3 linked regions of the Tamandua tetradactyla genome follow. The protein of the gene in region 3 interacts with the protein of the main gene of each other region in a pairwise test. Links are inferred from orthologs where the notes say so. Each region holds a gene or a part of one and is shown on either strand. Other genes may lie near its edges. The genes, in order: interferon-induced GTP-binding protein Mx1-like, HNRNPC and SUMO1.

Region 1 (3,750 bases), on a different chromosome or scaffold from region 3:
GTTACATTTTATAGCATATAATAATCTCTGGACAAAAGTCAGTGAAAATGTCTCTACTATGAGTTGAAATAAAACCTATTAAAAAAATAAAGCACTCTGATATTCTCGCAAGCAGTGAGGATAACCAAATCAATAGGCCGAACCCTATAACAAACCTGGGGGTTTGTTCATATGAAACTTATCCCTGCAAAGAATAGGCTAAGCCTACCTAAAATTAGGCCTACGAGTCGCCCCCAGAGAACCTCTTTTGTTGCTCAGATGTGGCCTCTCTCTCTCAGCCAACATGGCAAGCAAACTCACTGCCCTCCGCCTCTCTACATGGGACATGACTCCCAGGGGTATAAACCTTCCTGGCAATGTGGGACAGAAATCCTAGAATGAGCTGGGACTCAGCAACAAGAGATTGAGAAAACCTTCTCAACTGAAAGGGGGAAGAGAGAAATGAGACAAAATAAAGTGTCAGTGGCTGAAAGATTTCAAATAGAGTTGAGAGGTTATCCTGGAGGTTATTCTTACGCATTATATAGATAACCCCTTTTTTAGTTTAAGGTGTATTAGAGAGTCTAGAGGGAAGTGCCTGAAACTGTAGAGCTGTGTTCCAGTAGCCATGTTTCTTGAAGATGATTGTATAATGAATGATGCAGCTTTCACAAAGTGACTGTGTGATTGTAAAAACCTTGTTCTGATGCTCCTTTTATCTATGGTATGGACAGATGAGTAAAAAATAGGAATTAAAATAAATAATACGGTGAACAAGTGTTAAAATAAATTGGGTAGAGGGAAATACTAGTGGTCAGAGAAAGGGAGGCCTCGGCAAGGGGTTTGGTATATGTGAGTTTTTTCTTTTTATTTCTTTTTCTGGACTGATGTAAATGTTCTTAGAAATGATCATGGTGATGAATATACAACTATGAGATGATATTGTGAGCCACTGCTTGCACACCAAGTATGGAAAGTTCATACATTAAGAATGTTCATGTTGGATGTTTGGTTTTATTAATAAAAATTTAAAAAAAATAAAGCACTAACTTACCTCTGATACACGCTTCTTTTACTTGAGGATGTAAGGTTGATTAGTCAGATGGAAATGCAGAACTGTTCTCCTAACCTCCCTGAAATCATGCAAAATATATAAATTAGAAGACGCAGGCAAATAAACGAAAGTATTTTTTCATTTGGGGAATATTTTGTCCCTTGGGGAATGTCCCCAAGAGACATTCCCACCACTGAGAAAGATGCTTAGAAGTATGTATCAATCAGGAAAATCTCGAAGCCCTGTTCCAGTTTATGCTGCCTCAATTTAAGGACATATCACAGACATCAAAATTTAAAACTGCCCCTCTGTGGCACTTTGAGGTTTACCTGCCTCCAGGACAGCACCTCTTCAGTTTGGAAGGGGACAGAGAGATGCACTTCCTTGTAAGGTGGGAAAAGGGCAATCATGAACAGCAATCAATTTTGAAGTGTACTTGTGGAAAAGACAATCTGGAAATTGATTCCCCAAGACCCTCCATGCCTTTGGAAACACTTCTGGTGCCAGGGGGGTTCCAGGCCCCTTGCTGGAGACTCTGCTTCATCTGCCTCTCTGGAGTGCCATACCTTCTGAGGTGGGCTGCTCAGGTGACCTCACTGGGTGGTGATGTCACAGGGTCACCTGAGCTTTCTACCCACATGACCTTGGTTCAACTTGATCAGCTAAAAGAGAGCTTTATTAGCATATTTCTTTCTCCATTTGTTTCAGAAAGTGAGATTCCCTGAAAGCAAGATCTTGTGGGTTTTATCTAAAACTTAAATGTTTGTGCCTTTCTTGGATCAACTTTGAAAATCAGTTTGGATTGCAGAAACCTGGCAATCTCAGTCATTAAAACTAGCTTGCTGCTCATTCATTACACTCGGCATCCAGCCAGATGGGGCCTTGGCTTGTAAGAGTGAACAGAGAGGATTCTCAATTCTGGCCTTGGAGGAGTCAAGCTAGGGCAACCCCTAAGCTCTCAGCCCCAAACCTCTCAGAAAACCCTTGGCACAGCCCTCTGTGTGCACACATGACTGCAGGGGAATCAGCCCACCCTGCTCCGCTCTCTTTCTAGCTCTCGTGGACCTGAGCTCGGGCCACTGTGGCAGCATCTCCTTTAGCCTGGGGGCAGTTATGAATGGTGGGGGATGCATGTGGCCGCCCAGAAGGGCCGAAGTCTTACCAAGCAGGTATTCCTCCATGTTTCCTCATGACTGCATCCCATTCCCACACCCAACACCCCCCACCGCGCCCCCCCCCCAACCCAACCCTTTGGTCAGATCCTTACTTAACCCATGGGAAGAGTTACAGTGCCTTGAAGATGGGATGGGGTCGTTGTCTCACTCCTAAAATCAGGGAGGGGAGACGGAGCCCAGGGGCAGCGGGCTCTCTCCATTCACGCCCAGGGCAGGTCCGCACTGCTCAGGCCCCGCCGTCCCTGGGGGTGCGATAGGGATGGGGCCGGGGCGTCCAGGCCCTGATCCCAGAAAGGAGCAGGGACGGGAATTAGGATTCAGGACCCCACCTTCAGAGTCCGTAAAGATCTCACCTGCTAACCTCGGGAAATGCCTAGGGTGCGGAGATTCTGCAACCTGCCGGACAAACGCCTCTCTCGGTGGTCCCCAAGCCCGGCCCGGAGCTGCGCGACACTCACCGGTCCCCGCGCTGTCGCCGTGACACCCGCGTTCTCGCTCCGCCTGCGCCTTTATGTGCGGCGGCCGGCCCCGCCCCGTCCTCCCCCTCCCGGCCCGGCCGCGAGAAAACGAAACTCCCCACACTGAGCCTGCCTACCGGGTGCAGCAAACGAAACTCACCCCGCAGCGCGCTCTGCCTCCGGAACGCCTCTCAGCTCAGTAACACAGGCGTTCGCCAAGCGGGGCCCCGGCCCGCAGCAGCACCCTCCCTGGGAGCTTGCGGGAAATGCAAAATCTCTCCCCCAGTTCAGATCAGCTGAATCAGGAACTCTGGAGCCCCGCCCAGCAATTTTTTGTTTTATATATATATAATATAAAAATTGCCATTTCAGTAATTTTTACGTGCTGCACACAGTGGCATTACTTACATCTACAATGTTGGGCTACCATCACATTTTCCCTTATTAAAATCTTTTCATCACCCAAAACAGAAATTTTGGCCCCCAGTCCCTGGAAACTTTGTCTGCTTTATACCACTATGAATGTGCCTATTCTAGATATTTCATAAGAGTAGCATCATACAACATTTGTCCTTTTGTGTTATTTCACTGAGCATAACGTTTCCAAAGGCTCATCCACGTTGTTCCAAGTATCAGAATTGCATTCATTTTTAAGGCTGAATAAGATTCCACTGCATGTATATGCCACATTGCTTTTATCCATTCTTCTGTTGATGGACACTTGGGTTGTTTCTTCCTTGCGGCTATTGTGAATGATGCTGTGGTGTGGACAAGTGTCTGTTAGAAGCCCTGCTTTCAACTCTTTGGAGTGTGTACCCAGGAGCGGGATTGCGGGCCACATGGTAGCTCTGTGCTGAACTTGAACCGCTGCCTGAATAGCCTGGAGTTAGTGCAACCAGGACCCCTGGAACCAGCCTTGGTCTTGGAGTTCCCATTAGTGCTTGGTCTTCCAGAACACATGCATTTACAATTGGATGTCTTAAATTCCTGCTAATGGCTCAGTGGGATCATTCCAGAAGCAGCAGGGGTTCTGGAACATTCTCTGTGAAAAGATCCTTTAATGGCACCCCTATCCTTAGCTCAT
Region 2 (3,750 bases), on a different chromosome or scaffold from region 3:
AGAAATCACTTAGCATAGTAACTGCAGTTATTAAGGCAGTTCTATCTAAACAACTGCTAATTTCCAAAACAGCTATCAACAATAAAACTATTCCCGTACACCTTTTAACCTTTGGCAAATGACAAACTAGAAATTAAAACAAGTCCAAGACCCCTGATTTTACAGATACAAAACTAAAATGCAGAAAATGAAAAGTGATTTACCCAAAATAACACAGGTAACAAGCGGGGGAGGGGGGGATGGGATGGGATGGGATTTGGTTCTAACTCTTAGGCCAAGATTTTGCAACTGTTATACTCCCCAGGTAATCAATCCTTCTCACATTCAACAGTTAATGTGTCTTTAGGATTAGAAACAGCTTCACTGGAATTTATTCTTGGTTTGTTTCTAACAGCAATTCCATCCAAAACAAGATCACACGCTATGTTAAACCTAGAAATGTAATTACACTATAAGCTATATTTGAATTCTCTACACAAAGAATAGCAACCACCACCAAAGTATTCCTGAGAATGACACAGCATGGCAAACACAAAAAAGTTTGTCTTTCCTCTTAAACCCTTCCTCTCTAGCCCAACATGAAAATGTTACTAAAGCCTACCTCTTGAAAACACAGCTAGAATTGTTTCAGGTATTAATTTTGTGGACAGAGTTTCTGACGGATGTTAACTCAGGAAATTTGTGACATGCTGATGTTAATGAGGCCATATCTCTAACACCTCGAAATTTCGACAACTACACAAGAATTTCGGTTCTCAATAATAACCCTTCTTAAGTATTAAAAATTAATGCCTCAGGGGCGGGCCATGGTGGCTCAGCAGGCAGAGTTCTCGGCAAGCCATGCCAGAGACCCGGGTTCGATTCACGGTGCCTCCCATACAAAAAATAAATAAATAAAAGTAATGCCTCACAGTCAATTGCCAACAATACTTTTACCAACTAGATGATTGCCTAAATTAATTATCACTTGCTTTTATCTTATTTCTGACAGTTCAGCTGCGTGATGAGCTTTACTTTTAAAAAGCCCATACACAATATACATTTTAGGCCTTCAAAAAAAAAAGAGGGCAGGCAATGGTGGCTCAGTGGCAAAGTTCTCACCTGCCATGCAAGAGACCCAGGTTCGATTCCCACTGCCTGCCTACGTTAAAAAAAAAAAAAAAAAAAAAAACAGGAAATACTTTTGATACTGCAGAGCCCATTACAGGATTTACAGTATCTACATAGTGAAGAACGAGCAAATACATAGCCATCTAGAATATGCCTACTTTTACCGTCTAAAAATTAGGTTTCTTGGAGGATGAACTTCTTACTCTTCATTACTGGTTTAAACTTTGCTTAACACAGCATTCGTATTTGAGATTTACACACTGTAAAAAATATAATTAGCTCAATCTTACACAAGGATAAATTAGCCATTTCAAGTTTTACTAACTCAGAAAATTTTTAAGTTTCAGTATCTAGCAAATAGTAGGCACTATAATAAAGTGTAGTTGGGCATTTTTTTGTCACAAAAGTTTGGGTGGACAGCAAAAATTTATAAATACCAAAACATCTTAAAAACCGAATTTAAGTATGTCGTCGTCGACAGTTAATCTTAATAAAAAAATGCAACTCTCATAACTAATTATCTTTTCCAAGTGCAGTTTGGTAATTTTCCAGTTAACTGCCAGTGGTTTCTGTAACTAGGTTCTTGTAAAAATTCAAACGTAGTGCCTGGTACCAACTATTTTCAAACAACTAGGTAAATCCACTCGACTGACCTAGTGGTCAAATACCTCAACAGTCCTGATTTAACATACTCTGGCATCCAACACTCTTACGCCTCAGATTTTTGTCTGAGAAAGATATTAATACCTACCTCAAGCAAAGTTCCACTAACTTATATATTTCAAGTGATTTGAAACCTGCAGATAAAAAGTAGTAAGTCAGCTGCAATTTTAATTGTTAATACGTGAGGTTACATTTTTCTTTTTAAAATAAAAAAATTACTACTTCGAAGTCCACATTTGCCTAAAAAGAAGTAAAATAATAAATATTCAGAATACTAAGTCTATTGCTGTATTCATTATTTCCATGCCCTGCAGCACGTTTCAGAATTTACAGGCTCGCGGTACAACACTTTGGTAAGCACCCACTCCCCGACTGCTCAATTTTTAAATGTGAAAGAATGAGGTAACAGAAAACATTAGCTCCACATAAACTTCAACTATATTAACGAACATCTCGAGCTTCACTTTCAATTCTCTTGGGAGTCCTCACGGTCGTAGAAAAATGAAAGGAAACCAACCGTTAACATAGGTAAGCAAGACGAAAAAAGGTATTTTCTCCGACGATCAAGGCCTAGAGAACGCCAGATTAAATCCACGCGGAGATTGAAAACGCTAACACTCCCTCCCACACAAAACCTAATTCCCCAAGGCAAATAAAAGAAAAGGGGGCCTGGTTACTCTGCCGAGAGGGTTCCCTCGCCTTTTTTCCCCACACCCTCTCGCGCTCCCCGAAGAACCCAGTGCCTCTCCTTGTCTCCCCCTCCACTTACCAGGAGGGGGGAGGGAGAAGGGATTCAAATCTGAATCTCCCACTCCCAGATTCCACGCGAAGAAGCCGACTGCTGCTCGAGGTCGGCAACGCGGTAGCAACCGCACAGTCTCCGTCCGTCCACAAAATGGCTCCTGAGTCTCCTCCGCCGCCGAGGCGAAGGCCTAGTCCCCGCCCCATTCTTGGAACCTCTCTATTGGCTGCGCCCTTTCTCGCTCCCGTTCCTTGTAGGTCAGCTCTACTGTTCTTCACAATCTCGCCCAATTAAAATCAGCAATGGGTTAGACCAAGTAAGAGAATTTCCACATGCGTGAAAGAAACTAGCTTATAACTGGTTATTGCTCCTATCACTTATTGCTTGAGGAATTCTTATTGGCCAATGTACCGGACGTAGCGCTGGGTGAAAATTCGCCTTTGTATCGCGCGCACCGCTTCACATCCGGGTATCCGGCATATTTGATTGGCGTCCGTAGTGCCCTATCTCTACTCCTTCTAGCCCTTGGAGAAGGCCCGCCCAAATCTCGGAATTCCCGCGACGTGGGGGTGAGGAGGGATAAGAGGCGTTGTTAAGTTGCCGGCGCGAAGGTCGAGTCTTAGGCCCTCTTCCGCCTTTCGCAGCGGTCTTCTTAGCCTTGGGCAGGGGGAGAAGGTATACCACGAAGCGACGTTTCCTTTGTGCTATATGGATAAAGAAAGATTTTTTTTATTAAAGTGAGGAGAAAGCGGTGATAACTAGGCCATGTTAAGCTACATAGAAAACTAACCATACCCGCAGTTTTTCCCCAACCCCAGATCCCTTCCTCAGTTCCAGACTCGAATTTCACCTCCCCATTCCTCTGCCATCAAGCTCTTGTTCAGACAGCACATATCCCACCCAATTCAGCTGGCTTCCTATTCCTCTCCAATATATCAAACAAGGAAGTATAAAATGCTAGCCCGGAATACTATACAGATGGAATAGAACTAGCTAGCCTTACTAAGAATGAGGGAGAGCTATATGTGGATATGTTAAGGAGAGGGCTTATTCCCATTAACTGGAAAATGTAAGGTGCAGAACTCTTACATATTGTGATTCCATTTCTGTAAGTTTTTAAGGGACATATGAATATGTAAATGCTTTATGCATTAGTTTTAATTACTTCTGAATTACAGAGATTCACACAAAAAAGTAGCTGTTACCTTTGGAGAGAGGAATTTTTACTTTTTTCA
Region 3 (3,750 bases):
TGCTTGATCTTAGCCAAAAGGCTGAGAAGCAATGGCTTATAAGCTTCTTAATGGTAAGGGCTCAGCTTTACACCTTTTTAAATCCTTAGCACCCAACGTTTCACTTGTCCTGGGTCCTCATTATTAATAATGATATTGGTCAATTAGTCTAGAACAGTTCTTTAACTTTCTGGTCTCAAGACTCTTTCACAGTATTAAAAACTCTTCAGAACTCTATAAGGCTTTCCATAGGTTGGTTATACCCATAAAGATTTATAGTATTAGAAACTGAAACTAAGAAGTTTTTAAAGTATTTATTCATTTAAAAATAGCACTAAACCCATTACATGTTTACAAAGATTTTAAAAAATACTATTTAAAACAAAATTAATGTGAAATGTGGCAATGTTTTTACATTCTGCAAATCTCCTTAAAGCCTGGCTTAATAAAAAGCAACTGGATTCTCACATCTGTGCCTACATTTCAATATGCAGTGATAGCACAGGTCATATAGTCTCTGGAAAATACCACTGAACGCTCATGGAAAAAAAATAAGAGTGAAAACAACCAAAAACATCCTAGCATTGTCATGAAAAGTTTTGGCCCTGAGGAGCCTCTGAAGAGTCTCAAGAACCTCTGCCTATTGCCACCAGTTTGTATATTGGATCCTTCGTTTCTCCTCCATATCTGTATTGAATAACTAACTTCAAATTGGAGCAAAAAATTCTACAATTTATAATTATTTATGTGTATGACTCTTTCATCAGACTATTACAGAAAATTTCGACATGATTCCTAGCCACTTCTAACATCAAAATAAAAGGATGATGAAACTAAGCATTTACACCTGTTCTTTCTTCCCTGGTAACCAAGTAAACAACTATCCAGGGAGATACTTAAAATGCCATTCCCATATCAACTTGGGAATTAAATCTAAACTATTAATAAGAAAATCCATTCAAAACTAACCTAAATTATTGTTAATTTCTTAAAGTGTAAGTCTAAATCTTGTACAGTAGTACAAAGCTGCAAAAGCCTCTCCTGCTTTCACCTAATGATACAAAACTGCATTAAAAATGAAACAAAAAGTAAATGGAACGAGTGTGTCAAATGTTAAATGTTCAAGAGCATCAGGAAATTCACTGAAAATTTTCTACACAACTATCATTAAAGCAAAAAGTTGAAAAATACTTTAAAAAGTCAAAGTCATCTGAGCAAACAAAATGAAGACCAGCCAAAACCTTATCAATTAAAAACTAGCTATGTTTGGATGTTAACATCCATACGCTGGATGTTAATGTTAAGGCACTTTCCTGAGAATCTAAAATTGTCTCAAAACAAAAAGTTAAACAAAAAAACTAGCAAGGAAGCACACTGCCATAAAGAGTTTTCTAAAAATGTTCTGCAACTGCTTTTCAAACACTAAGTTTTCCTATCCTTTTTCTCAGAGATATCAGTCATCTCCGGGTTGATGCCCTGATTAAAGTTTTTTTGGTTGCTCTGGCAGTTTTGTTCCACTTTGTGTCATAGTTTTTCTGAGTGCTCTGTTACAACTGGTGAGTTGCTGAACCAATCCCGCGTAAGAAATGGGAAAGTACAAGAAAAGAGAGACAGCTCTACACCCCCCACGGGAAAGGATCCAGAGCAGAGAAGCGGGAGCTCAGTCCTAGCTGCAATCATCCGAACGCAGGGCAGCGCATTCTTAGTTCCCAGCAGCACTAAACAATGTCTCCCTCTCCGCCCCGCTCCTCCTCCCCGCCCCCCACTCCAGATCATCCCAAGCCAGGAAATCAAAAGTGCAGTCCACCCGCTTTTCAGTGCCACTGAGCCTCCCAATCACGGATTCTTCCCGTTACATAACTGGGGCCTTAGGGCTCTGCTTCGGTAGTCATCTGGAAAGGGAGACAGACGGTTCCCCGCCAGAGCCCTTTCAGAGAGGTGGAAGCTGGACTTTGCACCTGGCAGACCCCGGAGGAAGAAGAGAGACGACATGAGGGAGGCCACAACGAGAGGCACCGGGGGTGATGGGCAAACCGAGAGAGGGGCGGGGCGGTTCCCGGACGAACAACGCGTACCCTGGCGGCTCTGGCCCTACTCTGCTCTTCACCTTCGCGGGACCAGTCCCCACCGACCTCCCCCTCCCCCATTTCGCGCTCCCCTCCCCCGCGCCTTCATCCCGGGCCGCAACCGAGCGGTAAGCGAACCTGCCGGGTGCGGCCCGGGCCACTGCCGTCAAATGGTTCCCTGTCCGTACCTGGTCAGACATGGTGACGTGCCTTCACCCCGGGGTCTCCGCACAGCAGCGACCGGGGGCAAGCAGAACCTCGCTCCGGGGTTTACAAATTCGTCTCTCTTCCCAACAGCACAACACCGCCGCTGGAGGGACTTCCGCTACGCCCCGCGTCACTTCCGCTACGTGCAGGGAGGAAGGGAAGGGAGGAGGGAAAAGGCGAGGCGGGAAAACGGGTTGGGGAGGGATGGGGGCGGGAGTACCCGGGAAAGGGCTGGAACTACCTTACACTTTGTTGCGCTGGTGATTTAATTTATCTCTCCAGTTCCTCCGAGAGGTTGGTCCTACCCCTCAACCCCGGGTCTGTTTTCCAGCGGAAGAGTTCCCAGCCCCCAGTTTCAGTGTCTGGGAAGATATTGACAACCCAAACTCCTCTCTTCCTGACACTTAGCAAATTTCTGAAGACCGAGCCCATAGCTGATACTTCTTTGTCTCCTCTGGGTCTTACGCGTCACAAACGCTCCATAAATGTTTTGGATCGAATATTATTTCTTTCACACTCGAAATGATATTTTTTTACTAAGCAGTCCTTGGCTAAATGCATGACCTGGATTAAATATATATATACCATTGGGCACAATCTTAATGACTACAGATGAAAAGAACACTGGTAAAAATTCTGAGCTTAGGGGGAACCCTCATCCTTGAATTCCTTGCTTTGAGTTAAAGAATTATCCTTCCATGATTTCTTCTTTAAAACATATTGACCCTAAAAAAAAAAATAAATTTTCAGTGCCTTTACTAACGTAAGTTGGAAGGTATGGAATAAAACTGAGAATCCAGAAATAAATCATTAAGCACTCATATTAACAGTCAATTCGTTTTTCAGCAAGAATACCAAGACAATTCAATGGTAAAAGGATAGTCTTTTCAACAAATTGTGTTGGAACAACTGGATATCTACCTGCAAAAGAATGAAATTGAACCAGTACGCCATGCCTTACAAAAAATAAAATAGACCGAAGGCCTAAATATAGTAGCTAAAACTATAAAACTCTTAGAAGAAAACAAACATAGGCATAAATCTTAGTGACTTCGGATTAGGCAAAAATTTCTTAGATGTGACACTAAAAGCACAAGCAAAGAAAAATAGATAAATTGAACTTCATCAGAATTTAAAAACTTTGTGCTTCAAAGAACAGTATCAAAATAGTAAAAAAAACAGCCGAAAGAATGGGAGAAAATATTTGCAAATCATTAATGGGAGTCTAATATCCAGAATATATAAGGAACAGCTATGGCTCAACAACAAAAAGACAATTTAAAATTAATTTAAAAATGAGAAAGGGTCTGATTAAACATTTCTCCAAACATATACAAGTGATCAATAAGCACCAGAGAAATGCAAATCAAACCACAGTGAGATACCACTTCACACACAACAGTACTACTATAATAAAAAAGAGAGTCAGTATCAAATGATAACAAGGATGTGCAAGAGTTGGAACCCTCACACTGTTGATGAGAATGTTACAGTACTT

Evidence for each region.
Region 1: the proteins of SUMO1 (region 3) and interferon-induced GTP-binding protein Mx1-like interact in a two-hybrid assay, tested with the Homo sapiens proteins (2 studies listed by BioGRID). The link is inferred for Tamandua tetradactyla from reciprocal best matches to the Homo sapiens genes SUMO1 and MX1.
Region 2: the proteins of SUMO1 (region 3) and HNRNPC interact in binary tests that used the Homo sapiens proteins (3 or more experiments, as listed by UniProt). The two-hybrid records come from large-scale screens. The link is inferred for Tamandua tetradactyla from reciprocal best matches to the Homo sapiens genes SUMO1 and HNRNPC.

Annotation. Positions count from the first base shown.
Region 1 is NC_135336.1:98,729,235-98,732,984, reverse strand, and holds the start of interferon-induced GTP-binding protein Mx1-like, read right to left. Parts: upstream 2,712-3,750; 5' UTR 2,667-2,711; exon of another isoform or gene 2,562-2,666; intron 1,113-2,561; 5' UTR 1,034-1,112; intron 1-1,033.
Region 2 is NC_135340.1:35,253,450-35,257,199, reverse strand, and holds the start of HNRNPC (heterogeneous nuclear ribonucleoproteins C1/C2), read right to left. Parts: upstream 2,704-3,750; 5' UTR 2,543-2,703; intron 1,908-2,542; 5' UTR 1,862-1,907; intron 1-1,861. UniProt on the Homo sapiens protein: Binds pre-mRNA and nucleates the assembly of 40S hnRNP particles. Interacts with poly-U tracts in the 3'-UTR or 5'-UTR of mRNA and modulates the stability and the level of translation of bound mRNA molecules. Single HNRNPC tetramers bind 230-240 nucleotides.
Region 3 is NC_135329.1:176,909,895-176,913,644, forward strand, and holds the start of SUMO1 (small ubiquitin-related modifier 1), read right to left. Parts: upstream 2,399-3,750; 5' UTR 2,246-2,398; coding exon of another isoform or gene 2,234-2,245; intron 1-2,233. UniProt on the Homo sapiens protein: Ubiquitin-like protein that can be covalently attached to proteins as a monomer or a lysine-linked polymer.